Macaca mulatta: one gene and its partners. The protein of the gene in region 7 purifies or fractionates together with the protein of the main gene of each other region. This does not show direct contact. Links are inferred from orthologs where the notes say so. Each region holds a gene or a part of one and is shown on either strand. Other genes may lie near its edges. The genes, in order: BRD8, RUVBL1, EPC2, MEAF6, MBTD1, ACTL6A and MRGBP.

Region 1 (4,026 bases), on a different chromosome or scaffold from region 7:
AAAAAAAAAAAGTCCAGCCTGGGCAACATGGCAAAACCCCATCCCTACCAAAAAATACAAAAATGAGCCGGGGATGATGGCATGTGCCTGTAGTCCCAGCTACTCAGGAGGCTGAGGCCGGAGAATCACTTGAGCCCAGGAGGCAGAGGTTGCAGTGAACCAAGATTGCACCACTGCACTCCAGCCTGGGTGACAGTGAGACCCTGTCTGCAAAAAAAAAAAAGCGAACATAATAGAGTTACTACATAACCCAGCAATTTCACTCCTTGAATAAAAAACTCAAGAGAATTAAAAACATTGTCCACAACCTTGTACACAAATGTGCGTATCATCAGCATTATTCATAATGGTCAAAAAGTGGAAACAACCCAATTGTCTATCAAGCGATGGATAAACAAAATTTGGTATATTCATATAACAGATTATTATTCAGCTAAAAAAGGAATTAAGTATTGATACCTGCTATATAAGAATGAACCTTAAAAGCGTTATGTCAGCCAGATGCGGTGGCTCACTCCTGTAATCCCAGCACTTTGGGAGGCCGAGGTGGGCTGATCACGAGGTCAGGAGATCAAGACCACCCTGGCTGACATGGTGAAAGCCCGTCTCTACTAAAAATAAAAAAAAATAGGCTGAGCGTGGTGGCGGGCGCCTGTAGTCCCAGATATTCGAGAGGCTAAGGCAGGAGAATGGCATGAACCCAGGAGGCGGAACTTGCAGTGAGCCAAGATTGCGCCACTGCACTCCAGCCTGGGCAACAAAGCAAGAGCCTCAAAAAATAAAAAATAAAAAAAATAAAAATAAAGAAAATGTTCTAAAATTAGATTGTGGTAATGGCTGCACAACTGTGAATATACTAAAAACCATTATATTGTACATCTTAAGTAAGTTAATTTTATAGTATGTGAATTATATCTCAATAAAGCTGTTTAAAAAAAAAAATACAGCTGGCCTGGTGGCTCACACCCGTAATCCCAGTAGGTTGGGAGGTTGAGGTGGGCAGATCGCTTGAACCCAGGAGTTCAAGACCAGCCTAGGAAACATGATGAAACCCCTATCTCTACAAAAAAATACAAAAAATTATCTGGGCATGGTGGTGTGCACCTGTAGTCCCAGCTACTAAAGAGGCTGAGGTGGGAGGATCACTTGAGCCTCAGACATGGAGGTTGCAGTGAGCCAAGATCACACCACTGCACTCCAGCCTGGGCCACAAAGTGCAACCCTGTCTCAAAAAAAAAAAAAAAGGCCGGCAGCAGTGGCTCACGCCTGTAATCCCAGCACTTTCGGAGGCCGAGGCGGGCAGATCATGAGGTCAGGTGATTGAGACCAGCGTGGCCAACATGGTGAAACCTTGTCTCTACTAAAAATACAAAATTAGCCAGGCATGGCCAGGCGCAGTGGCTTACGCCTGTAATCCTAGCACTTTGGGAGGCTGAGGCCAGTGGATCACCTGAGGTCAGGAGTTCGAGACCAGCCTGGCCAACATGGCGAAACTCTGTCTCTACTAAAAACTAAAAAAATTAGCTGGGCGTGGCTGCACCACTGCATTCCAGCCTGGGCGAGAGAAGGAGACTGTCTCAAAAAAAAAAAAAAAAAAAAAAGGGAAGAAGAAAAAGTCTACTTACAGCTTAATATGATTAACTACAGAAATCTATCAATGTGAAAGAGTATCTAACAATTTCTAAGACCCAGAAAAGCTGACATCCTAGATAGCTTACCAATTTTGATCTCCACTTCTCATGACAGAAGATGCTAAACACAGCTTCTCTCGGATGGACCATGGCTCTGTGGGGCCAGTACTCAGCAGCTTGTGTTCTGGGAAACGAAAAAAAAAAAAGCCTTGGAAGCAACCACTGAGACTGTAGTGCTAAGCTCCAAAATCCCCAAAAAGGGGACTAAAAGCCTAATACAAAATATTCCAACTTGTTAGGACAAAGTGAGCTACTATCACCAAATCTTGATTTTCACCTCTCCAAGTGAAGTATCACCAGTGACCGTGGTACCAATTTGTTGCATGTGAATTATTAACATTTTATTTCTTAAAACGCCACGGCTTGAAGCTCCGCTTTATTAAAAAATTGGGAATGTCAGATTAGGCAGTTCTCCCTAAAAGCCCAGTTTTAAGAACACTGGACTTTATTCCAGTTTGAACTCATTCAGGGCTTATTTCCCAGGAACCCGAGCGGCCAGCCCCTCCTACAACCCCGCCTCCCTCTTAGCATAAACTTGTTTACTTCTCTCAGATCCTCTACTCCAAATGTCGGGCCTAAAAGACCTTTTCAGTCCACTAAAAGAAAAATGGCTGAAATCCCCGAGATGCAATTTCCTGAGTGGCAAGAAAAGCTCATGGTTAAAAGGCCCCACTTCCACTGCCTCACAAACGTCGAACAAAAAATGAATGGCTCTTTGAGGTGCCGGTTACTCCGTCTGGCTCATAACATCTTTTCGTCTGCACGCCCAAGTTTCTAGAGTGCTTTTACGGTTACCCCGAAGGGCTCCTAACACACTAGGATTCACTAAGCTCCTTCTCTCACACCTCCGCTCCCTCCCTGAGAAACAAGACCCCAGATTTCTGGGCCCCCAAACGTTGGTCTTCACGATGCTGTGGAGCGCAGGTCTCTGAAAACCCTGAGCTCTCAAGCAAACCACTTCTCCCACTCCCTAAGCGTGTAACAAAAATATGGTGCCTAGCCTCGGATCTACAAACGCCTTTCACGCAAAACCTGCTCAGATACTCACTGCCCGTTCCCGTCGCCATCTTGGCCCCGAAGTCTCCAACCCTGAGGAGAGACGGTCTGGTAGGGCCGAAACCCTGGAATTCTGGGAAGTAGAGTACCGGCGTTGGTTCGCGGTGCCTCCTGGGAAATGTCGTTTTTTCCCCTAAGACAAAGCAAGCACCCTAAACCAGTTATCTTGTGCAATCCTTTTAAGATTTTTGCTAAGGAAGGACAGGGGTTGGCGGCTGAAGCCTCAAGATTTCCTTTAGGGTTCTTAGGTAAGAAATGTCTAAGGTTCAAGAAAAAGGGTTAAGCTGGAAGAATCCCAAGCGAAATAACTCCTAACCCGCGACAGTTGGTAACCCGGACCCACATTAGATCTGAGAGGTCAAGCGGATGCAAACTACTGGAATTCCAGTCGGACCCGCCCCTTTTCCTTACGCGGATTGGTAGCTGCAGACTTCCCTATCTCATTGGCCGAACGAACGCAGCGCGTAATTTAAAATATTGTATCGGTAACAAAGCTGCACCTCGTGGGCGGAGTTGTGCTCTCCGGCTGCGAAAGTCCAGGTTCGGCGACTAGGTGTGAGTGAGCCGGTACCCGAGGAGGAGCAAGTGGCACGTCTTCGGGTGAGTGTGCGGCTGTGCTGGAGCCCGGGTTACCAGCTCTTGCCCACGCGGAATAGGCTTTAAGAAATCGGAACTGCAGCCATCTGTTTTTCTCTTAATGCTGCATCTCTGTTCTCACGGTGGTCCTTGAGGTTAGAAAAGGAGCCGAGGGATCCTGACACCACCTCCACAGCACCGGCGGGCGAGGTGCCCTACTTTAGGCCTGGCCTTTTGCTTTTGGAGCCAGATTTCTGTGGACTTCTGTTCGCTTTCAGAAATGCAACCTCAAACTTCTCTCGATTGTTCATTAAGTGAACTTCTCTCATTCCCTTCCCCTTTGCCGATAATTAGAGGGGAAAGGAAGTAGGGAGCGGGACCCGGTGTCCTGGGGCAAGGGACTTATTACCTAAAATTCGCGGCCCCTTCTGTCCCTAAAGGTTCTTCTCCCTGCCCACTTTTTGGTCTCTTTTTAGACCTAGGCTGCCCCTGCCGTCATGTCGCAAGGGATCCTTTCTCCGCCAGCGGGCTTGCTGTCCGATGACGATGTCGTAGTCTCTCCCATGTTTGAGTCCACAGCTGCAGATTTGGGGTCTGTGGTACGCAAGAACCTGCTGTCAGACTGCTCTGTCATCTCTACCTCCCTAGAGGACAAGCAGCAGGTAAAGGAACTGGGGAGTGGCTGGGGCAGAAAGTGACATCC
Region 2 (3,500 bases), on a different chromosome or scaffold from region 7:
GAAAAATGATGTCAATAATGCCTACCTCTCAGAGTGCAGGTGAAGCCTGAAGACGTTCATGTGTATAATGTCACCAAAGGCTAGCCCTGTCTGATCTCACCTTTGTGCACGCCAATTGAATGACCAGATTGTAGTATCACACCCCAGAGATCACATGGGAGACCCTCATCATGAGTGAAAGGGCAGCTGCTGCCTTTGGTGACTAGGGAAATGAGACCAGAGGCAAGCCACTTGGCACGTTTTCCTTCAAAAACAACGTGACCTCCCCTCATCCCCATTCCACCTCGTGGGGTTTAGCGAGATCCTGAGGAACAAACGAGCCCAGCTGGAAGGTAAAAAAGCCTTGTGGCTGGCAGGCAGCCATCCTACCTGATGACACAGTTGCCTCGGTTGGATGCAAAGATGACGATGGGGGCGATAGAAGACTCCAGAGCGCGGTGCAGGTAGGTGAAGCACTCAATGTCCAGCATGTGGACCTCATCAACAAACAGCACACCCGGGACCAGCTCAGCAATGCCCTGGTCGATGTACTTGTTCACCACCTTATTAATCTCCCCTCGAAGTTTGTCTAGGAGATGCAAGGATCGGCAGGCAAGGTCAGCACAGGGCTGGGAGAGACTATCGCCTTTTCTCCTCCACCTGAATTCAATCCAAACCCATGCTGGGAGCCTAGTTTTCCTACTAGCTATGTGATCCCTGACAGGGTGTGTCCCCCCACTCCAGGCTTCAGTGTCATCATCTGAACACAGTGATAATCACACCTAAAGGTCACAAAATTGGTAGCCTCCCCCAAAAGATGTGTTTGGTTAAATGTAAAAAGGTAGCACGGGTGTTCTGCATGGGAATCCCTTCACAGCACATGCTCACTGCTGTCACACTCCCTACCATGCCTTATCACCTCCCACACACCCAGTGTAGCTCTGTCTGATCTGGGAGACACTGGAGTTTAGGAGCCCTGAGTGAAATGAGTTTTCACATGCAAATTTTCCTATTCTATACTCAGTAAATGACCCTTTCTTTTGGTCCCATACAACAATGCTTAGGTTAATTAACTTTCAATCAAGTGCCTGGAATAAGGAAGTGGGTGCTTTTAGAATCCCGAGCAGAAACCTTCGAGGAATGAAAGGCTCTGAAGAAAGGCCCAATCTCAGAGCTCCTAGAGGGATGAGTCTCTCAAAAGTTACATAACCCAGCTAAGGTCTCAGTGCTCATTTTCCAAACCAGCTCCTGTGTTATTGTCAGGAGGGAGCAGCTCACAAACAGAAAACTGGAAGATCTGAGGCAGCGTCTTCCACCAAAGGCACAAGGCCGGGATTGTCCGAAGAGGATGCACACTGAAAATCATGTGAAAAGAAAGAAACTGCTCCTGACAACTCAAACAGAAAGGTCTCAGATTGCTGCCCTGGCTAAAACTTTAAAGATAATATTTGCTTTAATGTTTAACTAACATCTTAAAGTGACGAAATTGTAGGTAGAATTAGAAAAAAACAGCAACAGGAAAGCTGGGAAGAGCCGCAGGGTAAAATAAAGGTTCACAGGAGAGCAGCAGCAGTGTCCCCTGTGGAGCTCTAGGAAGAGCCCACGAACTGGGCAGGGCAGTGCGTGGAGCTGGTCTGTGAAGCTGCCCTGTGCTCTACTAGGGAGGGGCTGACAGCACCAAGGCTCCAGAGTCTGTGCTCGGGCAGAGCTGGGCGAAATAAATCCACATTTCTGGGGCCTCATAGGGACCAGAAACTGTGACTGCAGTGGGGCAGAGACCACACAGTGTGCTTGCTGTATGGCTGCCTAAATAATGCCAGAGACTAAGGCTAGAGTCAAGCTCTGAACTATGAGGAAGAAGGAACTGTTCTGAGGCATTTTCTCAGGGTGGATGTGCTCACAGAGCCGCAAGGGCATCTCAGAATGTAGGGCCCTCCACCCTGCCCCTTGCTCGCAGGCCACGCTGGTTCTCCTACCTGTGATTTCTGTCTTCTTTGGCTTCATTAGCTGGCCCATCATGGACAGGATATCTTGTCCCCCCTGCATAAGAGAAGACTTAGAGTCAGTGCTGCTTTGTAAGGTGACTACAGAAGCCTCATCCCCCTGCATCCCACTCATCAACTCAACATGGGATCCTGAGGTAAGGAGACCCCTCCTCAAAGCCTGAGGAGCTTCTAAACACAGAGGAATTTTTAGAGGTTCCCTTGACCTGTAAGAATCAAACAAAATCCTTTCATGGTAAGTATAAGCTCCGTGGGGCCTGCCCAGCCTCCTTCTCCAGCCCTATCTTTTTCCAATCCCTTGTTCCTTGATTAGCCACATGAGACTACCAGCCCTGCCCTGGACACCCGCAAGCTCTTTTATGACTCGATGCTTTTGAGTCTATTCCATCTGCCAGGAATGCCATTCTCCTTCCTAGGAAGTTCCCAGTCATTAAAGTTCAAGTCAAATGCCCTCTAGGGGGCATTTGACCCTAACCAGACTCATGACTTCCTCCCAATGTTTCTGTGCCTTTGGGGACACACGGACTACAAGAGTAAGTATAAAGAGTAAGTATAAATATACCATGATTATACTGCTGTGCCTCCTCTCACTAGATTTGACCACAGGCTTGCATCAGCCTAGTCCTTACTTAACCTAGAGCTACTCAGTCTATGGGCCCCTCCCTGTGGAATGGCTGACTCCATAACAGGTTCACCACTCACCTGCATCCTCCTATGGGCTCCTAAGAGTGCAGTCAGCAAGAGGAAGAGGCTGGTGTTTGGTCATTTGTTCAGCATTTAGTGATCACCTGTTAGTTACCAGGCCCTGAGACACAGAGGTGCTCACTAAATGCTGAATAGCTAAAGGCAGCAAATGTTTCCTGTCTGGTCCTCAAAACTGCCTTGCCAGGTAGGAGAAAACTCAAAATCAGAACCCTAAACCACAGAAAACCCAGAGACCCAAAGTGACAAATTAACCAAGCTGGTCAGTGATGGAGCAACACAGTTCCTGACTTCTGACTCCCAGCCCAACACTCTTCTCAGGTCAAGGGCTCCCAGGAGTTCAGTTTGCGGATGGCCACTTCACCAACCGAGGGGACCTGTTGCTCCAAAATAAGTCTTCAGTAATCTCTTGACCAAAGCTCCAAGGAACAAAACACCCACGGATCAAATTTCAAGTCAGAAAACAAACTATTCCCTAATAGTGAAGAGGTCTTTTTTAGGATGAAGAGGAAACCAAACTGCAAGACCATCACAAGAAACAGTGGTGTCTTGTTTCTTTTAATCACATATTTCCTACAAATGCTGTAAAGTGATAACATCCTTTCCTACATTTTACTAGTCAAGGCATAAGTATCCATCTGCATGAGAAGCAGACAACAGTACCAGCTCAAAGCTAAAACACTGTGGCTTTTGCTAAGCAGGGGGAAAGAAAGAGCTTTGTCAGGCTTTCTGAAATCCTGTAACGGGCTCACAGAACACTCCTGCCCTCCTGCCATTAACACCCAGAGAATCCCAGGCGTGAGCCCACTGCTGGAG
Region 3 (3,500 bases), on a different chromosome or scaffold from region 7:
TGTGTTAATCAGTGCTTTTCCTAGGTATGTGATTGTTAAGCATTGCAGTATGAAAATCTTAACCCATAATTACTGACAGAATCAGCCTTTATTAGATATTGATTCTCATTTTAGACTTCCTCTATGAATAAATACTCAGCCTTCCTAAATACTAACTTTAGGAATTTGGTTGCATCCATTGTTGTCCTACTCCATTACACATAGTTAACTATATTTACTTTGTCATGTATTCCACTTGAAAATGTGGGAAGTTTCTGAAAGTTGGGGCTTTGTTTTTGATGTAATAGTTATGCCCATTATATGAAAAATTTTATATCTCACTAAATATAATTTGCCTTTCAAACAATATTTTTATTGTGTGTACTGTTTTTGACCCTAAAGTAGTTAACATCTGGACTAGATGTGGAAAAGTATAAGTTTTGTAGTTTGTACCTTGGTGCTTGGAACAGTCTTTTCCAACTTTTAAAGTGGCAGATCCCTTTTTATTAAAAGGAATGCCAGTATGTTAAAACAGTAACAGAGCTGCTCTGTTGAGGGGAGGTAGGGGCACTACCCCTTCAGTGAGTGTCTTTGCCAGATGGCCTCTCAGGAACCTCCACAGAAGCCTGCGGGACTTCAGAACAGTTACTGTTCGGTTGCTGCAGTAATTATACATTCTAAAAAGTGAGGGGTTTTTTTTCCTAGTTAAGCTTATTTTTCTCAAAAGATTTACATCCATAGAACACACATTTTAAAAAATTGGATCTAAGTGTAGAAATGACAATAAACTCATGATCCAGTTGAAGAAACTTAAAAATAGTGATTAATTTTTATCAGTGCAGCAGATTTAAATAAAAATTGAATTTAAATACCTTTTAAATACTGGATTACATAATAGAGCAATCCAAAAAATTCCTCACATAGTTTAAAGTAGTAATAATAATGTAAAAAGCAAATTTAAATACCATAATTATTTTTCATCATAAGTTGCAGAAAGTAAAACATGTTTCAATTTATGAACACAGAATAATTTTTGCATATTAAAAATAATAAAATCACCTCCTGGGTAAAAATGTATGTTTTTCAAAGAGCAGTATAGTTTTTCATGATTTCTAAAATGATTTTTATTTCTTCCTTTTGGGGGAAAAATCGTCATGTAAACAGCACCCTCATCATTTGTCTTTGAAAGAAGAGGCTTCTGATGTGGTTCGTCAAAAGAAGAAGTACCCAAAGAAGCCTAAAGCAGAGGCTTTGATAACATCTCAGCAACCCACTCCAGAGACATTGCCTGTGATCAATAAGAGTGACATTAAGCAATATGACTTTCACAGCTCAGATGAAGATGAATTTCCACAGGTGCTTGTTTTAAAACTATTTTAAAGATATTTCCTGCTAGTATTTTGTATTGTTATATTTTTAAAGCAATTGCTATCTTAGAGTTTTTATTCTTGCTTTGTTCCCCTAATGTATGTAGCATAAACATTTCCACATTATTTATGTAGCCACTGAAATGGTATTTACTCTGTATTATCTTTCATCAGTTGTATAGAATTTACTCTCTTGTGGAGCACATGGTTTTCAGTTTTTCCATTTATAAAAATGAACTTAGATCTTTTCCCTCTGTATTTAAAATAGATTCTTAGTAATTGAATTACTAGTTACTAACCAAAAATTATCAATATTTTAAGACAGTTAATATATAATTGTAAATATTGAAAATATCAACAATACTTTCCTTTTTACCACACTCCACCAGCATTGTGTTTTATAACTTTTAATGCAAATTTTGCTAATTTGTTAGGTAATGGCTGTTTGATTTTAAAAAAGACTTAAAGGGACTGATTCAGATTTTAACTCTTTGATAAATATTGCAACAGCTTTATAGAAAAATGTGCACAATTAAAAAATATTTATTTTTATAAGTGCTGTTTTTAAAATAAGACTTTTACTTTATATATTAAAAGATCCGGCCGGGCGCGGTGGCTCACGCCTGTAATCCTAGCACTTTGGTAGGCCAAGGCGGGCAGATCACAAGGTCAGGAGATCGAGACCATCCTGGCTATCACAGTGAAACCCCGTCTCTACTAAAAATACAAAAAATTAGCCAGGCATGGTGGCGGGTGCCTGTAGTCCCAGCTACTCAGGAGGCTGAGGTAGGAGAATGGCGTGCGCCCGGGAGGCAGAGCTTGCAGTGAGCTGAGATCGTGCTACTGTACTCCAATCTGGGCGACAGAGCAAGACTCTGTCTCAAAAAAACAAACAAACAAAAAGAAAGATCCATTTTTTCAAAAAATATTGTGTATCACCTGCTCTAGCAATACCATCTTTTTAAAAATAGCATAGGAAACTTAACAGAAAATACTGTAACAAAGACCTTGAACCTACTGCCAGCTTTATCATATTTTAACTTTTTGACTTGTTTGCTTTAAGGAAACTTTTTTTAAAAAACCAACATTATAGATATGTTTGAAAGCAGGACTGTTTATAAAACTCTTCATTGCTATAACCATTTAAAATCTGGAGTTTGCATAAAATGTGTCCCTTTTGGCTGGATTATACTAGTTTTACTCTTTTTTTTCACTGATTAGTTTTTCTACCCAGATAATATTCTGATAGTCATGAATAGTATCAAATGTGCAAAGATATGCTTAATTTTATTCCTTGAGGAGTGCTTAATGAACCCATATATTACTTTTGTCAGAGGATCATCTAGTTTGACTCAGGCAGAGCTTTGAACAGCCATGGGACATTCATCAGATGACCAGTTTGAAGGAATGAGGGATATAGTGCCTTACAAAAGAGTAATTTTCAAGATAGAAAGTATAGGGAAGGGTTCTAGGCACAACATACTAGAGGGAACTCCTAGCAGTTTAGCATTGCTGGAGCACATAACATAGAAGAGGAAGAGGGGATGAAAGGCTTGATGCCTGCAGTAATACCCAGATGTCAGATAGCCTCTATCTACATTATACATAATGGGAAATTATTTAAAATGTTAAGTAAGAAAATGACATAGTTAGATAACTGTATGTAAAATAGGCTTTTATTGGTGGTACTAATGAGAGCCTAGAAAGTTTTGCTATATATTCCCAGCCCTTTAAGAATGATGCTGCAGCCGGGCGCGGTGGCTCACGCCTGTAATCCCAGCACTTTGGGAGGCCGAGATGGGCGGATCACGAGGTCAGGAGATCGAGACCATCCTGACTAACACGGTGAAACCCCGTCTCTACTAAAAATACAAAAATTAGCCGGGCGCGGTGGCGGGCGCCTGTAGTCCCAGCCACACGGGAGGCTGAGGCAGGAGAATGGCGTGAACCCGGGAGGCGGAGCTTGCAGTGAGTGGAGATCGCGCCACTGCACTCCAGCCTGGGAGACAGAGGGAGACTCCATCTCAAAAAAATAAATAAATAAATAAATAAAAAAGAATGATGCTGCAGACTGGGCATTGTGGCTCACGCCTGTAATCCCAGCACTTTGGGAAGCCAAAGCAGGTGGATTGCTTGAGCCCAGGACTTGGAGAC
Region 4 (4,130 bases), on a different chromosome or scaffold from region 7:
CCCATTTGCAGATGAAATTATCTATGTAAAAAATTCCAAGGAATCTATACAAAACCCCCCTAAAATTAGTAAGGAAGTTCAGCAAGATGGCAGGTTACAAGATCCGCACACGAAACCAGTTATTCAGAATGCAGCACAGAGGGACAAAAAGATAGAAAATATAGACGGTAGGTTAAAAATAAAGGTTTCTTATGTTCGAGTTCCAGAAAGAGAGAGAATATGAGACAGGCATCTGAAGAAAAATGACTGCGATTTCCCAAAACTGGTGGAAGATACCAACCCACAGATTATAGAAATCCAAAGACTTCCAAGCAAGAAACAAAACAAAAAGAAAAAATATCCCACTTAGACTTATGATAGCGAAATTGCAGAAGAGTGAAAGATGGAGAGCTGAGGAGGGAGAAATCAACAGGGGCCAAGTGAAAACAACGTCTACACCTTGGACTTAACGATAAAAGCGAATTCGTACTTGCAGAGTCATTGGCACCTGCCAAACCCCTTACACACATTAGCTGATTTACTCCTCACAGCAACTGTATTAAGTAGATTCTATCACTGCTTTCATTTTACAGATGAGGGAGTTGAGATTTGGTTATTTACCCAAAGGGGCACACTTTATCGATGTAGCGATAGGATTTTGAACAAGGTAGTTCTCGCTCCAGTTTTGTGCCCTTAACCACTACACATACTTGTTTCTCCAAAGGGCAATGGGAAAATGGGAAGCCACTGAAAGGCTTTAAACAGGGGAGTGATAACATTTGTTTCTGGAAGATTCCGGCACCACTGTGGATAGTGGATTAAATGGGGCTAAAGGTGGAAATAAAGAAGCTGTTGGAATAACGTAGCCCCAAACAGGGAGGGCCTGAATGAACTAAGAAGGTGGCAAAAGGCGCAGGCACAAGCAAATGGATTCGCGAGCTCTTCCGGAGTCGAATCCACAGGGCTTGACCTGGTATCGCGTTTTACTCCGGGTGCAGAGTGAGGAAAACCGGGTTTCTGACGCAGGCAATTGCGGTGGATAGTGAAAGTCATTCACTGAAGTGGACTGAGGCGGGACGCACAGGAGACTCGGAGGCCTGAGGACGAGCTAGGCTTTGGACACGGTAGATTTGTGGCGTCTGTAAAGCCCGCGGCCAGCCGAGGGGCAGGAAACGGCGTAAAGGGCAGAGCAGAAGCCGACTCTCTGGACCTCTCCGAGAAGGATCGTCCAGAGTCCCGGCCGCAGAGCACCTCTGCGCGGCGCTGCACGCGTCTCCGGAAGCCGCGCGCGCAGGCGCAGTGCGGGGGGCGCCCCCTGGCGGCGCAGGGACCGCCCCCAACCTCGCGCCGCCGCCGCCCGCCTCAGCCCAACATGGCGATGCACAACAAGGCGGCGCCGCCGCAGATCCCGGACACCCGGCGGGAGCTGGCGGAGCTCGTGAAGCGGAAGCAGGAGTTGGCGGTGAGGGGCTAGGACCGGGGTTGCCCGGCATGGGGCTCCGCGCCCGCCCCGCCTCCAGGCCCCAAGCCCGGCTGCGCCAGGCCGTTCGTTACTCCGGGGGCGCGGCGCGGCGGGCTGTGTGCTCGGCGGCCTGAGGCCGGGTGCGCATTCTGCGGCCCGCCGGCGGTTCAGCTTCCCGGCTGTGCGAATCCGGAGCCGGGAGGGAGCTGGGAGCGCGGGAGGGGGAGGGGCAGCGGCAGCCGCAGGAGGGGGCGTGGAGGGAGGACGGTGCCGGGGCTCGGGACTCGGGGAGAGGGCGCTAGGAAGGGCGAGGCGGGCGAGTCCGTGATCTTTGCGGGGTGGGGGTGGGGTAGGAGGCTAGTGTGGGAGGGGGACCGAGTCACCCTGTCTGGACTTTGGAGGATGGTGGGGAGCGTGTTCTTTTTGGTACTAGTAGTAGATCCGTTGAATGGAGGCTTTTGATAGACAGGGTTGTGATGTGTTTGGGAATATCTAGAAGGTGACAGGCGAGGGAGAAGAACACATTCTGGAGAATTCGGAATTGTGACAGGCACCCAAGGCCCAATGCACCCTGGTGGCTAAGCTCTTCCTGCCCTCACGTCTCGGCTTGGGCACCCCGGAGGCCCCTCTCACCTGAAGCTGCCCTTCCAGGTTTCCATAGCAACTGGCAGCCCGGTGCCGGCGGCCTCTCTGAGCCTGCGGGGAGGGGAGCGAGTTGACGCTGAAAGGCTGCTCACCCTTCCCTCTCCTGGTAGCGATACCTTTTGTGCGTGGGAGTGGATATCGCACAAGTTCTGCGTTAGCCTGGGTTCTTGACTCCTGGTTTCCGTGAATCCTCTAAAGTATATGCAAAATTTCGCGTGTGTGTGTATTTTTCTGGGGACATGCTTTATACATTCAGAGGTCCATCACACCCAAAGGTCTAGACTGTCTTAGTCCTAAACGGCTGCTCCTCCCCATATCATCCATCTCTCCACAGGGTGATTTAGTGTGGACAAGCTTGCGTTTACAAATCTAATATCAGGATTTCATTTTGGTCAGACTTAAGTGTTTGCATTTAAAAGGCATTATTCATGTCCTTGTTTTTCATCTCTCAGGAAACACTGGCAAACTTGGAGCGACAGATCTATGCTTTTGAGGGAAGCTACCTGGAAGACACTCAGATGTATGGCAATATTATTCGTGGCTGGGATCGGTATCTGACCAACCAAAAGTGAGTGTCGAAAGCCTGTAGTGTTCCTATTGTGTTCCTATTGTGTGTGTTTGTAGGACTGTAGGCTCTTAGTAGCAAGTTTGCTAGAGGCAGTAGTAAAGTGGTGGTGTGGTCTGGACTTGAACTCTTGGACTCTGGCTCAGGCACTGCCTCACTGAATAATCTTAGACAAAGCTCACATCTGTAAAATAGCAAAAGTTGGGCCTTTGGCACAGGGTTGTGTGAGGCTTAAATACAGCATATAACAATATCTTTATACAACATCACTCTATTAAATTTTTTACACATTTTAATCAGTCGTGAGTTCTACCCTCACAGTATTTTTCTTTTCTTTTTTTCTTTTTCCTCCTGAGTAGCTGGGATTACAGGCGCATGCCACCATGGCTGGCTAATTTTTTTATTTTTAGTAGAGACGAGGTTTCTCCATGTTGGCCCAGCTGGTCTTGAACTCCTGACCTCAGGTGATCTGCTGCCTTGGCCTCCCAAAGTGCTGGGATTATAGGTGTGAGCCACCATGCCTGGCCACTTTTCTTTTTTCTAAGAGACAGGGTCTCATGCTGTTGTCCAGGCTGGAGTGCAGTAGCACAATCTTAGCTCACTGCAGCCTCAAACTCCCGGGCTGAAATGATCCTCCCACCTCAGCCTCTCAATTAGCTGGGACTACAGGCACACAATACTGCACCTGACTAATTAAAAACATTTTTTTTTTTTGTAGAAGTGGGGTCTCACTTTGTTGCCCAGGCAGGCCTGGAACTCCTGGTTTCAAGCAGTCCTCCTGCCTCAGGTTCTCAAAGTGTTGGAATTAAAGGGGTGAGCCACCACGCCCAACTGACCCTCACAATTTTTGCCATACCTGTGTGCCAGCTGTACCACTGCTTGCTTAGTAATATTTTTAAAAAATTTCTAAACTTTTGGATTATCTTCAAGTTATAGAAAAATGGGAAGAATAGTATATGAACACTTGATACTGTCCTACCTGTATTCAGATTGTTAATGTGTTGTGACATTTGCTTTCTCTTACTCTCTATAATATTAATATAAGCACACACCTATATTTACATTTCACGTTTTTAAATTGTGAAATAATTATAGATTCATAGGGAGTTGGCAGAATGGTCTTTTGTAGTCTTCATCTAGTTTTCCCCAATAGGTGTTTTTTTTTTTTTTTTTTTTTTTTTTTTTTGAGACGGAGTCTCACGCTGTTTCCCAGGCTGGAGTGCAGTGGCGCGATCTCGGCTCACTGCAAGCTCCGCCTCCCGGGTTCCCGCCATTCTCCTGCCTCAGCCTCCTGAGTAGCTGGGACTACAGGCACCCGCCACCGCGCCTGGCTAATTTTTTGTATTTTTAGTAGAGACGGGGTTTCACTGTGGTCTCGATCTCCTGACCTTGTGATCCGCCCGCCTCGGCCTCCCAAAGTGCTGGGATTACAGGCTTGAGCCACCGCGCCCGGCCAATAGGTGTGTTTTATATAACTCT
Region 5 (3,974 bases), on a different chromosome or scaffold from region 7:
ACGGTGAAACCCCGTCTCTACTAAAAAAATACAAAAAACTAGCCGGGCGCGGTGGCAGGCGCCTATAGTCCCAGCTACTCGGGAGGCTGAGGCAGGAGAATGGCGTAAACCCGGGAAGCGGAGCTTGCAGTGAGCTGAGATCTGGCCACTGCACTCCAGCCTGGGCGACAGAGCGAGACTCCGTCTCAAAAAAAAAAAAAAAAACCTAAACCATAGAATACCCCTTGAAGTGAGTTTGAGCTTCCCAAAACCACAGGACAGAAATGTCCAAGTGGTTTCTACTTGCTCTACTACCAGTCTAATAAACAGACTTCAAACCCAACAGCTCCCACCTCAGTACACTCTTCCTTTTCCAGACGACAAAACTGTCACAAAGTTCAGTTTCCAGTAGCAGTTCTGTACTTCCCAAATAGATTGCTGCCACTTCTCCCACAAGCACCCGAAGGAGGCTCTGGTAAGCAGCTGACATTAGATGGGTCAGCATTTGTGTAAGAAACATGGACTGGGTAATGTTCGGTGCGCTTTCCTCCGCCCCCTATCTAAAATTTCACAGGCCTCCTCTAGACACGCTCATCTCCCTTTACCGTATGTCCTTTTTTCTCTTCAGCACTTGTCACCAACAAACCTGAAGTTTACCGGTTTATCTCATCTATCTTGTCTCTGCCACTAGCATACAAGCTCCAAGAGGCAGGGATTTTTGTCAGTTTTGTCCATTGCTGTGTCTCCTCCAGTGCCTAGAACAATGTCTGGGACTCTCAAGAAAAGCCTGGTATAGAATTAAATGGATAGCAAAATGTGTGCAAAAAGTATGATGAATCACGCAGGGTTTGCCATTGCCAGAGAGGGTATCTGGCAACCAACAGGTTCCCCAATATTTGCTAAATGAACGAAATTCACGATCATTCTCAAAATCCTGTGGGTCTCACAGTCACTTGGGGAGATAGTTACAACGCAGATGCCCAGGCCCGTGCCCACGAATTGATTCCATCAACGAAATGGAATTCCTAGATCACAAGGAACTGAGGCAGGTGATCAAAAGACCACATTGTTTGGGGAGAGGCTAGCGGAGCCGAGCAGCGGCGAAAGATGCTCACTACCACAGTTCGCAAAGCAGATACCCGAGCAGCGGCGCCTCCGGGGGCGGAGAAAGGCGCGGTCCCCGCCCTCCAGACACTTTCAGTCTGGAGCAGGGAGGCGAAGGACCCGCAGCTGCGACCCTCGGCGCCCGCGTTCTCAGGCTCCCTCCCACCTGAGCGCTCCCCGCCGCCGCAGGTCGCCCAGGCTCCGCCCCCCAGAGCTTCACCGCCCACCGCGCGCCCCGCCCGAGCGCGCCCAGCCCGCGCGCCGCGGCCTCCCTCACCCGCGGGCCCCGCAGACGCCGCAGCAGAGCGTCCTCGTCGTTCTCGACGTCGCCGAAGACCAGCTCCTCCAAGCACCGCTCCACGGCCGGTTTGTCCTCCTCCAGCGTCAGGCGGTTCCGCTGCCGGAGCCGTCTCTCCTCCTCCGCCGCCGCGACTGCAATCGCAGCGGCCGCAGCGCTCGGCCGGGCCGGCGGTTTCCGCTGGGATGAAGGGGCAGGCTTTTGGGGAGGCCGGCCTGGCCCTGCTCCGGCTTTCCAGTCCGGCCTCGTTCCGGGCTTCCGTTTCGGCTTCGCTCCGGTTCTCCGGTCCAGTTTCATTCGTCTCCTCCGTTCCGGCGGCATCGTTAGGTTTGAGGAGAAACGCAGGCGCTCACGTGGAACCTCGCTGCGCATGCGCCCAGGCACCTCCCTGGCCGCCGCCGCCGAAGCCCCTGGGGCCGGAAGGAGCCTGCGCAGCCTCTTGCCACGTGACCCGCACTCCCTCCCTCTACGTAACTCTCACTCCCCTACCCAGCCCCGCCCCGTGTGGGAGTTCCTCCGGGAGGGCCAATCTTCCGGGTGTAGGGGGAAGCGGCGTGACTGGAGTGGAAAATTTTTCCAACACAACTTCGCAGCTGCAACATATTGAAAGGAGCGCAAGAAAGCCCGAGTATACACTCGGACAGCTGAATGAAACTTCTGCTTTTCCTGTTGACTTTAACCAGTGGATTTAACACAAGCTCCAATGCGCTTTCCACCTCTCGTCTTGGTACGGTCCTTGGAGTACGGAGCCTGCAGAGGGTCCCACGCTGGAAGCGAGTGAGGAGGGTATGTAGGGAAGTGGGCCAATCGGGGCGCGGGTCACGGCGCAGGCGCGCTGGGGAGGGAGGGCTATGCTAATGTTGTTGATATCCTGGGGCCACCCGAGTTAAAGGGGGGAAATCCGGGGGCTGCCGCAGCCGCCACCGGTCTGGGCCCAGCCGGGGGCCCTCTGTAGTCGCCGCAGTCCCGGGGAGAGGCACCTGCCCCCAGCCCGGGGAGGGGGCGCCGCGGGCTCGGGGAGCACGGACAACCCCTACCCATGAGGCCCTGATGGAAAACACAAAGGATCTGGTGAGAGCCGAGCGCGGCAGCCGCTTTGTGTGCCAGGTGGGGGGGACGCCTGCAGCTCCCCGACCCCAGGAACCCCGCAGCTCCCTGACCCTGCTCCCTGGCCTGCTTCTCCATCCCACGCCCCCTCAATCTCCGGAGCCCCCCCTCCCCCTTCCAGCCGTTAAACGATTCAGGGGTTCCCCTCCCCCCACCCCGTCAGCCCTGGACTCGTTGGGGTTCTCTCCATCTCCTCCACCCTCTAGAAGAAAAATTCGAGAAGAAAGTTTTTCTCTGCGTCCTGCCCCCGCCCCCTGCTCTGGCTAGGGGGGAAAGGCTGGATCCGAGACTTTTCCTTTTTTAGCCACCCAGGGTGGGAGAGTGGAGTAGTCCTCTCTTCTTCGCGGGGAGGGAGAGCATAGTTTTGGTGCTTTGCAGGGGTAGGAGTCTGTCCGGCTTGGGGCCAGTGCCGCGAGGCGGTTTGCACGTGGAGGTGGAAATATTGAAAGGGGGCGGGGTGGGCACGTGCGGGAGAGGTGGGAGTGGTGTTTGGGAAGCAGCCTCCAAGGCTGCGTATTTAAAAGGGTTTCAAGTCGGTGGGCTTCTATGACCATTGCGTTCTCCTTTGTGAAATAAGAATCCTAACATTTCAGAGTCGGAAGAGACATTAGAGGTCATCTAAAGCAGCCGTCCCCTCTGCAGCCTCTCTGACAAGGGGTAGGTAGTCTGACCCCTGCTTAAACCCCTAAAAGCACTGAGCGCTCACTACTGCCCTGGAAAGCCCATTTTTCAGTAGTTCTAATTGTTGTCTGCCTACCCTTGTTAGACCCTTCAGTCTCTCATTCATGTCCTGGTTAAGTTGCTCCTTTTTTTACTTCTCAAATTTTCTCTCACATCCTCCTCACCCACCCACTGCTCATTGGCCTATATTTTGTGTGCCAGGAAAGAACAGCAGGGAAGTGGAGGAAGGGGGGGTTGAGAGATAGTGAGGGCCAGCCGAAAACTTTGCTGGGTCAGTGTCAAATGTGCTGCCTTACATGCCTGAAGGTGTTTTTTCTACAGGAAGCTAAATAATTACAATATGGGAATTTCATGCCTGTTTTCTCTCACGAGTGCATCTTTTTGAAGTCAGAAATTTCAGCGTCATCTCCGTGGTTCTTGTATCGCAAAACACATTTGCGGATTACCTAAATCACTTCTCCTAAGGATGTCTAAAACTGTTAGGGATGGTACTGAAGCATCACCTGATAGAGGGATGATTAGATGATTACCGCCCCCACCCATTTGACCTGTGTTCCTCGGGAGCTAGTCTTTCCTCCAGGGGTCCCTCTTCCAAATGCTTTTACTCCTTTTTTTTAAGTAACTATCTTTTATGAGATTTGAAATTTATGGACCATTTTAATACTTGTTTAGAGTTTACAATATTTTTAATTCTCCTTACACTAGCATACACCAGTACTTATCCCTGGCTGGTTGAGATAGGTCAGTTGAAACTATTGTCACTGGGTGTTTCTTTAACATTCATCCTTCATTTGGTGAGCTGTGC
Region 6 (4,233 bases), on a different chromosome or scaffold from region 7:
TTTTTAGGATACAGTCCTGCTCTGTCACCCAGGCTGGAGTGCAGTTCCGGGTTCAAGTGATTCTTGTGCCTCAGCCTCCCCAGTAGCTGGGACTCCAGGCATGTGCCACCATGCCTGGCTAATTTTTGTATTTTTAGTAGAGACAGGGTTTTGTCATGTTGGCCAGGTTGATCTTGAACTCCTGGCCTCAAGTGATCCGCCCGCCTCAGCCTCCCAAGTTGTTGGGATTACAGGTGTGAGCCACCGCACCTGGCCCCTTCTACATATTGTTATCAATGAACAGCTCTCATTGAATTACAGTTACCATTTCTGATCAATATAAGATGCTATCAACTACATGATGCACCACTATTTCCGGCATCACTAAGAAAATAATATGGCAATTAAAACTCTGCCAGGCCAGCACTACTGAGACATATTCCGGCTGGGGGCAGTGGCTCAAACCTGTAATCCTAGCACTTTGGGAGGCTGAGGCGGGAGGACTGCCTGAGCTCAGGAGTTCAAGACCCGTCTCTATTAAAAACAAACAAACAAACAAAAGACATATTCCAACTTCAGCTGTTTAAATGTGGGAAAAATGTACAATTAAGAATCGGTGAAATATGGTGTCTATTTACCTAACGGATTCATCTACAAGACTGAACTTCTTGATGACAACAGCCTATACCTGCCACATAGTGCTCAAAAAACATTTTTGTGAAATAGAAAAAAATCCAACATATCAGCTCATTTTCCTGCCCTAATTAGTAAACTGGATATGGTGGAAGTTTAATTTAAGACTCTAAATTCTTAGAATTTTACATCTGTTCCTTTTTCAGGATGGGAGATACATCTAATTCCTGTACCCTGCTTCATTAAAAATCAAGCCCCATGAACCCTAAGTAGGAGAGTGGCAATGGGAGGCAGGAGGCTTAGTAGAAAGAACCACAGAGTTCTGGATGTTTAAAACCTAGGATGCAATTTCTAGTGTATAAAAATCCTCAAGAATTGAACCTCGGCCGGGCGCGGGGGCTCAAGCCTGTAATCTCAGCACTTTGGGAGGCCGAGACGGGCGGATCACGAGGTCAGGAGATCGAGGCCATCCTGGCTAACACGGTGAAACCCCGTCTCTACTAAAAAATACAGAAAAACTAGCCAGGCGAGGTGGCGGGTGCCTGTAGTCCCAGCTACTCGGGAGGCTGAGGCAGGAGAATGACGTAAACCCGGCCACTGCACTCCAGCCCACTCCAGCCCGGGCGACAGAGCGAGACTCCGTCTCAAAAAAAAAAAAAAAAAAAAAAGAATTGAACCTCTATTCTACTAAAAAGGCTTTTTTTCTTTTTTGAGGATTTAAATGTTTTTCTCCTTCCAAGTTTAGGGGTGATGTGATTTTCTTGGGGAACATGAAGGAAAAATCTTATTTTTGTTGTATCTTACCTGTAAAATGACATCCTTTATAGAAACAGCATCACTACTAGACACAGCAACAATAGCAATAGTCTGGATTTGTTTTCTGGGTCTCTAACTCATCAAACACAACCCAAAACATTAATTATATGTATCAGTGTTTTGATTCACCTGCAGATCTTGCAAAAATGGAGGCTCTAAATCAGTAGATTTTGAATGACGCGTGAGATTCTGCATTTCTAAGAGGCTTGCAGGTGATGCTGACACTGCTGGTCCATGGACCAGACTTTAAGTGGCAAATGTAGCATTATTTCATTTAACCTTTACGCCCATCCCCATTGGCTAGGAATTATTCCACAAATGAGGCCTGAAGTTGGAAAATTATGTAAATTGCCTAAGACCAAAGCGCTCAACAGTGAGGCGGATATTTCAACTCAGGTCTGTAACCCCCCGCACCTGGTAATCTTTCTGCCACACCAGTCTAATCAAGGATAAGTGAAAAAACAAGACGCCTAGGACCCCCGGCAAACTTTCTGGGCATCCTTAAACTACACGTGCTCCTGAATTAATCTCAAACAGACCCGCCCACGAGTCACTCTGGAGACTCCGCAGCCAACAAACAGGCAGGAGTTACTGAAAGGTGAGGCAGCTCGCGCATGGGGCACAGACAGGGAGGAGGCAGTACCCTAAGTGGCCGCCGCTTCCCTAGTCAGTTCTACGGCTTGAGGCTCGCATTGCCACCTGTGAGACGCTCTGGGAACCCTCCGTCCACGCTTGCAAACCGCCGGGACCTTCCAAGTTTAGGCGCGAGCACATGCGCCCCGACACAGCCGAGTCCAGGAGGCACTCGTGGAGATGCGACCCTGGGGCGGTAACGCAACCCGGGGCCCGGCGGCCGGCTGGACTGAGCTTCCCGCCCAGCCCCGAGGCTCTCTAGAGAAACGAGCGTGCATCCCAAAACCCTGCTTCTCCGGGGGCAGAGGCAGGAACCGGCCACAGAGAGCCGCCACTCCAGGGCGCCCGAGGCGCTGGCCGAGCCTGGTGGGCTCCGGGGGCGGGCAGAGCGTGGGGCGGGGATGGGGCGGGGAGGCCGGGGTCCCGAGAGGGGGAAACCGGAAGGGAACGCCGAGGAGGGGAGGGCTGGGAGCGGCGGTTACAAACCCCACACGCCGAAAACGCGCGCTCTCTCCTCCGGCCGCACTCACTCACCTCCCCCGTACACGCCGCCGCTCATGGCTGCTGCCGGCGCGACCCCTACCCTAAGGGCTAACTGGAGAAGTGACTGCAGTGGCCGCGACTGCGAGTCCCGAGAAGCGATAGCCCCTGACTCCCTTAACTTCCACCGCCACCCCCCTCAGGCAACAAAGCGGCGTCCACACACCCCGGAGCTCAGCTACACTTGCTGTCTCCTCCTATCAGCCAATCACGAGGGTCCAGGCCTACGTTTAGTCAATCAGAATGCGGCTGCGCCGCATCCCCGCCGCGGCCCAGCAGGTTTAGCCAATCGAAGGCAGCCATGGGGGCGGGGAAAGAGGAAAGCGACAGCCGGACAGAAGGAGTTGGGTTGCGGAGCTGAAGCGGGCGGAGCTTCCCGGGTGGGCGAGAGAGTGGGCGGAGGCAGTGGGAGAAGAAGGAGGAAGGCTGGAGGGAAGCATGGGAGGGGCGTAAGAGGTGCGGCTGGGCGCTGAGGAGCTGCGGGAACCTGGGTAGGGGAAGGTAGACTTCTGGAAATTGAACGTGTGTCTCCACGCTGAGATTCCTGTCCAGTGACTGTGGGCAATGTGGATTTCTTTCTTTTTTTCTTCAGAAAAAGTATTTTAAACTAACTTTAGGTTGAAGAAATAAAAATTTTGCGCTCCACTTTGGGATAGGGGAATCAGTAAATCAGACAAATTGATAGGATCTTGTAATTTTTAAAATGGTTATTAATAAGTAAAAGAAGAATGAAATGATGCATTATCCCAGCTAAACCTAGGTAGCGCTTTAAAAACGATTTAAAAAATCAATTTCTTAAAAAAAAAAAAAAAATTTCAGGCCGGGTGTGGTGGCTCACCCGTGTAATCCCAGCACTTTGGGAGGCCGAGGCGGGTAGATCACGAGGTCAGGAGTTCGAGACCAGCCTGGTCAACACAGTGAAACCCCGTCTCTACTAAAAATACGAAAATTAGCTGGGCGTGGTGGCACACACCTGTAGTCCCAGCTACTTGGGAGGCTGAGGCAGGAGAATCGCTTGAACCCAGGAGGTGAAGTGTCCGGAGCTGCACGCCCGGCCATAGTGAATAATCATTAAAGATTAAATGCCTGAGCTATATTCATTTCCACCCCACATCTTCTCCCTAGATTTACCTTCTTCCCTGTATTAATACCGCCATTAAAAGATGGCGCTCTTCCTGCTTCTTTTTCATTCTTTTTTCCCGCGCCTGGGACAAGACTACCTGACTGCGCAGGCGCAACATGACGTCCGACCGGAGAAACCGAGGCTTATCTGGCCACGCCTTCCTTTTTTAGGTAATTTCCGCCTTAGCCCAACCCCTTCCCCTCCAAATGTATATAAGGCATTGCATTACCGCCATTAAACGAGACTTGATCAGGATACTGTCTTGTCTCCATTTCTCGTGTCTCTTGTTCCCCAAATTCCCACCCCCTCTTCCAGGGCCTGCTTTGACAATCCCGTGGGCCGGGACTCGTGGCGCCCAAACGTGGGGCCTGGAAACGAGGGACTCCGTGAGGAAGAGGACGCGAAAGACCGGTCGATCGTTAACAAAGACAAAAGAAGTTAAACTCCTCCGATCACCGCGGGAACCTGCCGCGTCAGAATCGAAGGTAAGTGACGCGTCGGAAATGGGA
Region 7 (4,297 bases):
GCCTACGGTCTCACCAAGAGACTGCACACCTGTGGGTCCTGCCTGCCCACCACGACCTACGGTCTCACCAAGAGACTGCACACCTGTGGGTCCTGCCTGCCCACCACGACCTACGGTCTCACCAAGAGACTGCACACCTGTGGGTCCTGCCTGCCCACCACGACCTATGGTCTCACCAAGAGACTGCGTTCCCTAAGGCGGTGTGCAGAGGGCACGGTGACAGCCCTGGGGAAAGGCCGCAGGCACCTCGAGTTCTCATCCACATGGCAGGAACCCATGGACACTGAGGGTGTCAGTTGGGAGCGCCACAGGCACAGAACCAGGCAAGGAAGAAGAGCAGATGGAGCAGGGCCACCCGAGTGCTTGCCAGGCACTGCCCTCCTGAGGTCACACAGACCAGAGGGAGAGACCGGGAGCCAGGGAAAAGTGGAGCTGGCGGGAAGGGCCCTGGACTGGGAGGCGATTCAGGAGACAGGGGCTTCTACTCGGCAGTTTGGGTGCTGTATGGAACAGGCAGTCAGGCCACATTTGTGCTCCTCAAAATCTCCTGGGCCAGCTGGTCAGCCTCTCGGGGGTACTCCAGGGGCTCTGTATTTCATAAGGTCTGAAAGACTCAGATCTCAGTCACACAGAAGTGTCATGGTCCAGAGAAAGTGCCAGCCTGTGGTCTTGCCCAGTCCTTACTGATGTCATAGGCCACTGCAGGAATAAGGAACAGGGCCACAGTCCTAGGGCTGAAAGGCCTGGCGGTCCCACATGGCTTCCTGAGTGTCATGTGGGCTGCTGTGCTCATCTGAGCCAGCACCCATGCCCCAGGGGACATTATGGGCCTTGGAGCTGTTTGTCTTCCCCAGAGACAGGCATAGATTTACACCGATCTCTCCAAATCCCGGTGTGGGAGGTGTCTGGGGACCTAGCGCCCTCTCCCACAACCAAGAAGCTGCTGGGAGTTTGGTGACAGGGGGCCTCTGACCCTGAGGGGTGGTGACCAGAGTTCAATGGCTGATGGATACGCTCTAGGGAGGAGCGGGTCCAGGGAGGACCTTGTGAGCTTAGTAGCCAGCTGTGTCTGGGCCACTAGGTACTGGTCACCCAGTGCAAATGCCGCACTGGCTCAGAACGTCCTCAACACACGAGGCGGCAGCAACAGGGGCTTAAGCTTCCAGGGCATTTCTAGGGCTGAGCATCCTTCCTCTCCTCAGACAGCCAGGCCCCTGCACGGCTGGCATCTCTGTCCCCTTTCTACAGCTATGACAAGGAGACCCACATCACTCCACCAATGTCAACGGCAAGCATTCCTTGCCTCAGTGGTGCCCCTATGTCTTCCTGGAAGGGCTGGTGTGGCCCTGAGTCCAGCGTGGCTGGCACAGACTCTCCTTCCACCAGCACAGGTCCCCACTCCTCCTGGTCACCTGACCCCTGACCCCCACCCCATTCTCCAAGCACACCACCTTCTTTCAACTCCTGGACCCACCACCTCCTGCTGCCACAGAGCCTGCAACACCCACCTGTCTCTTGTGGCCAGCCTGCTTACCTAGCTAACGCGCTCGCCCGTCACACACTGCCAGCTCCAAGCTCTGTGAGGACTGGGACTCTATTTGCCTGACTCCCACAGAAGCCACCAAATTCACCTTGGTGTGACTCAGATAGGGTCACCCTCTGCCTAAAGCACTTCTGGGGCATCCCGGGAGGCTGACAAGGGCCTAAGGGCCTGGGGACTCTGCATCCTTCCCTCCCTCCCCAGGGTCTCAGCTGGAGGCTCTGGCCCAGCACCCAGTCTAAAGCAGGCCCCCTGAAAAGCTGGCCAGCTGCTAGCATTGTGTTTGTGCTTTCCATGACAGGCTCTGGAGCCCTGGGATGCCCTCCTTAAGGATGGGTCTCACTGCAGGGGGCTCTGCCCAGCAGACCCCAGCAGGCATGGAGGGGCCTCTGCTCTGCCCAGCTCAGGCTGACCCTCAGCGGTGTGTGGGTTCGTGCCCCCATCGGGCAGCACAGGGAGGGTGGTTGGGCTCACCAGTGCCTGCATGTCGTACATGGTGCTCAGGTGGTCCCAGATGACCTTGGATGGGACCTGCCGCCCGATGTTCTGGCTGAACTTGTCCCGGATACAAATCATGTGGAAGTGTCGGTTCACACCTGGGGGGAGGAGGGGCGGCGGGACAACCGGTCAGAGGGGAGGAGAAGGAGAAAGGGGATGGAGGGGACAGGGTGCCCTGGGGACTGGAGGGGCAAGGGTGGCCGCGGTGGGATGGGGTGGGCCAGGGTGCGGAGGGGCTGTCGGGGGGCAGGGCTGGGTGGTGTGTGTGGGAGGGGGTGGGGCGTCCCGGGGCAGAGGTGGGGGTGGGGCGCTGCGGGCTGGGGCCTCGCGGTGTCACGGGGGTAGGGGCCGGGGGCGGGGTCCGGGGCGGGGTCCGAAGGGCGCGTGGGAGGGGGCGGGGGTCCCGGGACGGGTGTGGCGGGGGTGTCACGGCCCGGGCTCGGCGGGGCGCGTGGGGGCGCGGGTGTCGCGAGCGCAGGCCCCGCCCCGCCCCGCCGGTTGCCCGCCCCGCCCCCACGCGCGTCCGCGGCCTGGGCGCTCACCGACGGGCTTGTGGCCCAGCATGGCGTGGAAGAGGCACACCTCCACCTCGGGGCTCCACACCACTGTCTCCTCCGCCGGGCTGGTGGCCGCCTCCCCTGGGCCCTTGTCGCCTGCGGCGCCCCCGCCGCCCACCTCGGCCTCTCCCATGGCCGCGGCCCGGCCGAGCAAGGAGCCCCCGGCGGGAGCAGGCGCGGCCACGAGCTCCGCGCAGGCGCACTCGGGGGCGGGCGCGCGCTCCGCCAGGCACGAGCTCGGGCTCACGCGCCGGCGTCGGCGCAGGCGCAGCCGAGGCCTCGGGTTCCTTCCCGCCGGGGACTCCGCCCTGCTCCGCCCCGTGCGGGGGTGCTTAAAACGTGTTCCTCTTTAAAGCACAGTAAGTGTTCTAACACTTCACCCAAACAACAACAGAAAACTTTTTTGCTTCAAAGAAAACCATCAGCAAAGTGAAAAGACGACCCACAGATTGGGAGAAAGTATTTGCAAATCCTGTATCTGATAAGGAACTTCCTTGCAGAAGGTATAAATATAACTCTATAATAAAAAGACAGTCTAACTATAAAACGGCAAAGGATTTGGATACACATTTTTCCAAAGAAGATGTACAGATGGGCCGGGCGCGGTGGCTCACGCCTGTAATCCCAGCACTTTGGGAGGCCGAGGCGGGAGGATCATCTGAGGTCAGGAATTCGAGACCAGCCTGGCCAACATGGCATAATCCCGTCTCTACTAAAAATACAAAAAAATTAGCCGGCCGTGGTGGCGGGCGCCTGTAATCCCCGTTACTTCGAGAGGCTGAGGCAGGAGAATCGCTTGAACCCGAGAGGCGGAGGTTGCAGTGAGCGGAGATCGCGCCATTGCAATCCAGCTTGGGCAACAAGAGAGAAACTCCGACTCGGGAAAAAGAAAAAAAAAGATGTATAGATGGCCAATGAACACCATCGGTCACGCGAAACGCGAACCAGCCCGCGTGGGGACCCCCTTCCCCGCCGAGACCGCCGCAACTACGCGGCCGGGGTGGCGAGTACTGCGAGGATCCGGACTCGGGACCCTCGTGCGGTCGTGCTGTGGGGCCAGATGGAGTCGCTGCTGCGAAAGACAGAACGGCCGTTCCTTCAACGATGGAACCGTCTCCCTAGGAGGCAGCAGCTCCGTGGCGGGCGCCCGCAACGGTGGAACAAGACACAGGTTCAGGCTGGGATCCGCAGCCGCAAGGCTAGCGCCGCCCCCAACCGGGGCTGAACCGGCTAGGGGCGCACGGAGCGCGGGCACCCGCACGGCGCAGCCGCGTTCAGCCTAAAAGCCGCGAGCGCGGACTGCGGCAGCGTGGGTGCGGGCTGAGACGAAAGTCAGAGAATTCAGACACCAAAATACGCAGCATGGGAATCCATTCACAGGAAGAGCCAGAACTGGCAACTCCATAGAAATAGAAAGTAGACGCACAGTTGCCGGGGACGGGGGAGGGGGAGGGAAACGCGAGTCACTGCGGATGGGGATCGGCTTCTTTTTTGTTTCTGAGGCAGAGTCTCGCTCTGTTGCCCAGGCTGGGGTGCAATGGCGCGATCTTGGCTCACTGCAACCTCTGCCTCTCGGGTTCAAGCAATTCTCCCGACAGACTCCCGAGAAGCTGGGACCACAGGCCCTCACTACGGCCGGCTAATTTTTGTATTTTTAGTAGAGATGCGGTTTCACCATGTTGGCCAGGCTGGTCTCGAACTC

Evidence for each region.
Region 1: the proteins of MRGBP (region 7) and BRD8 purify together in Homo sapiens (affinity purification with mass spectrometry; 10 studies listed by BioGRID and IntAct, counting the BioPlex papers as one, with this or other methods). This does not show direct contact. The link is inferred for Macaca mulatta from reciprocal best matches to the Homo sapiens genes MRGBP and BRD8.
Region 2: the proteins of MRGBP (region 7) and RUVBL1 purify together in Homo sapiens (co-immunoprecipitation; 6 studies listed by BioGRID and IntAct, counting the BioPlex papers as one, with this or other methods). This does not show direct contact. The link is inferred for Macaca mulatta from reciprocal best matches to the Homo sapiens genes MRGBP and RUVBL1.
Region 3: the proteins of MRGBP (region 7) and EPC2 purify together in Homo sapiens (co-immunoprecipitation; 4 studies listed by BioGRID and IntAct, counting the BioPlex papers as one, with this or other methods). This does not show direct contact. The link is inferred for Macaca mulatta from reciprocal best matches to the Homo sapiens genes MRGBP and EPC2.
Region 4: the proteins of MRGBP (region 7) and MEAF6 purify together in Homo sapiens (co-immunoprecipitation; 4 studies listed by BioGRID and IntAct, counting the BioPlex papers as one, with this or other methods). This does not show direct contact. The link is inferred for Macaca mulatta from reciprocal best matches to the Homo sapiens genes MRGBP and MEAF6.
Region 5: the proteins of MRGBP (region 7) and MBTD1 purify together in Homo sapiens (affinity purification with mass spectrometry; 4 studies listed by BioGRID and IntAct, counting the BioPlex papers as one, with this or other methods). This does not show direct contact. The link is inferred for Macaca mulatta from reciprocal best matches to the Homo sapiens genes MRGBP and MBTD1.
Region 6: the proteins of MRGBP (region 7) and ACTL6A purify together in Homo sapiens (co-immunoprecipitation; 4 studies listed by BioGRID and IntAct, with this or other methods). This does not show direct contact. The link is inferred for Macaca mulatta from reciprocal best matches to the Homo sapiens genes MRGBP and ACTL6A.

The regions. Positions count from the first base shown.
Region 1 is NC_133411.1:147,033,002-147,037,027, forward strand, and holds the start of BRD8 (bromodomain-containing protein 8), read right to left. Parts: upstream 2,801-4,026; 5' UTR 2,759-2,800; coding exon 2,740-2,758; intron 1,816-2,739; coding exon 1,719-1,815; intron 1-1,718. Other genes in the region: kinesin-like protein KIF20A, read left to right, coding at 3,821-3,985. UniProt on the Homo sapiens protein: May act as a coactivator during transcriptional activation by hormone-activated nuclear receptors (NR). Isoform 2 stimulates transcriptional activation by AR/DHTR, ESR1/NR3A1, RXRA/NR2B1 and THRB/ERBA2.
Region 2 is NC_133407.1:155,874,757-155,878,256, reverse strand, and holds part of RUVBL1 (ruvB-like 1), read right to left. Parts: intron 2,020-3,500; coding exon 1,956-2,019; intron 569-1,955; coding exon 370-568; intron 1-369. UniProt on the Homo sapiens protein: Possesses single-stranded DNA-stimulated ATPase and ATP-dependent DNA helicase (3' to 5') activity; hexamerization is thought to be critical for ATP hydrolysis and adjacent subunits in the ring-like structure contribute to the ATPase activity.
Region 3 is NC_133417.1:53,760,105-53,763,604, forward strand, and holds part of EPC2 (enhancer of polycomb homolog 2), read left to right. Parts: intron 1-1,143; coding exon 1,144-1,335; intron 1,336-3,500. UniProt on the Homo sapiens protein: May play a role in transcription or DNA repair.
Region 4 is NC_133406.1:203,284,204-203,288,333, forward strand, and holds the start of MEAF6 (chromatin modification-related protein MEAF6), read left to right. Parts: upstream 1-1,330; 5' UTR 1,331-1,351; coding exon 1,352-1,441; intron 1,442-2,538; coding exon 2,539-2,654; intron 2,655-4,130.
Region 5 is NC_133421.1:58,742,390-58,746,363, forward strand, and holds the start of MBTD1 (MBT domain-containing protein 1), read left to right. Parts: upstream 1-1,174; 5' UTR 1,175-1,360; coding exon of another isoform or gene 1,361-1,702; 5' UTR 1,703-2,029; coding exon 2,030-2,167; intron 2,168-2,204; exon of another isoform or gene 2,205-2,431; coding exon of another isoform or gene 2,432-2,452; intron 2,453-3,080; exon of another isoform or gene 3,081-3,773; intron 3,774-3,974. Other genes in the region: UTP18 (U3 small nucleolar RNA-associated protein 18 homolog), read right to left, coding at 1,361-1,702. UniProt on the Homo sapiens protein: Chromatin reader component of the NuA4 histone acetyltransferase complex, a multiprotein complex involved in transcriptional activation of select genes principally by acetylation of nucleosomal histones H4 and H2A.
Region 6 is NC_133407.1:91,570,710-91,574,942, reverse strand, and holds the start of ACTL6A (actin-like protein 6A), read right to left. Parts: upstream 2,801-4,233; 5' UTR 2,621-2,800; coding exon 2,596-2,620; intron 2,447-2,595; exon of another isoform or gene 2,072-2,446; intron 1-2,071.
Region 7 is NC_133415.1:115,606,517-115,610,813, reverse strand, and holds the start of MRGBP (MRG/MORF4L-binding protein), read right to left. Parts: upstream 2,801-4,297; 5' UTR 2,729-2,800; coding exon 2,581-2,728; intron 2,137-2,580; coding exon 2,015-2,136; intron 1-2,014.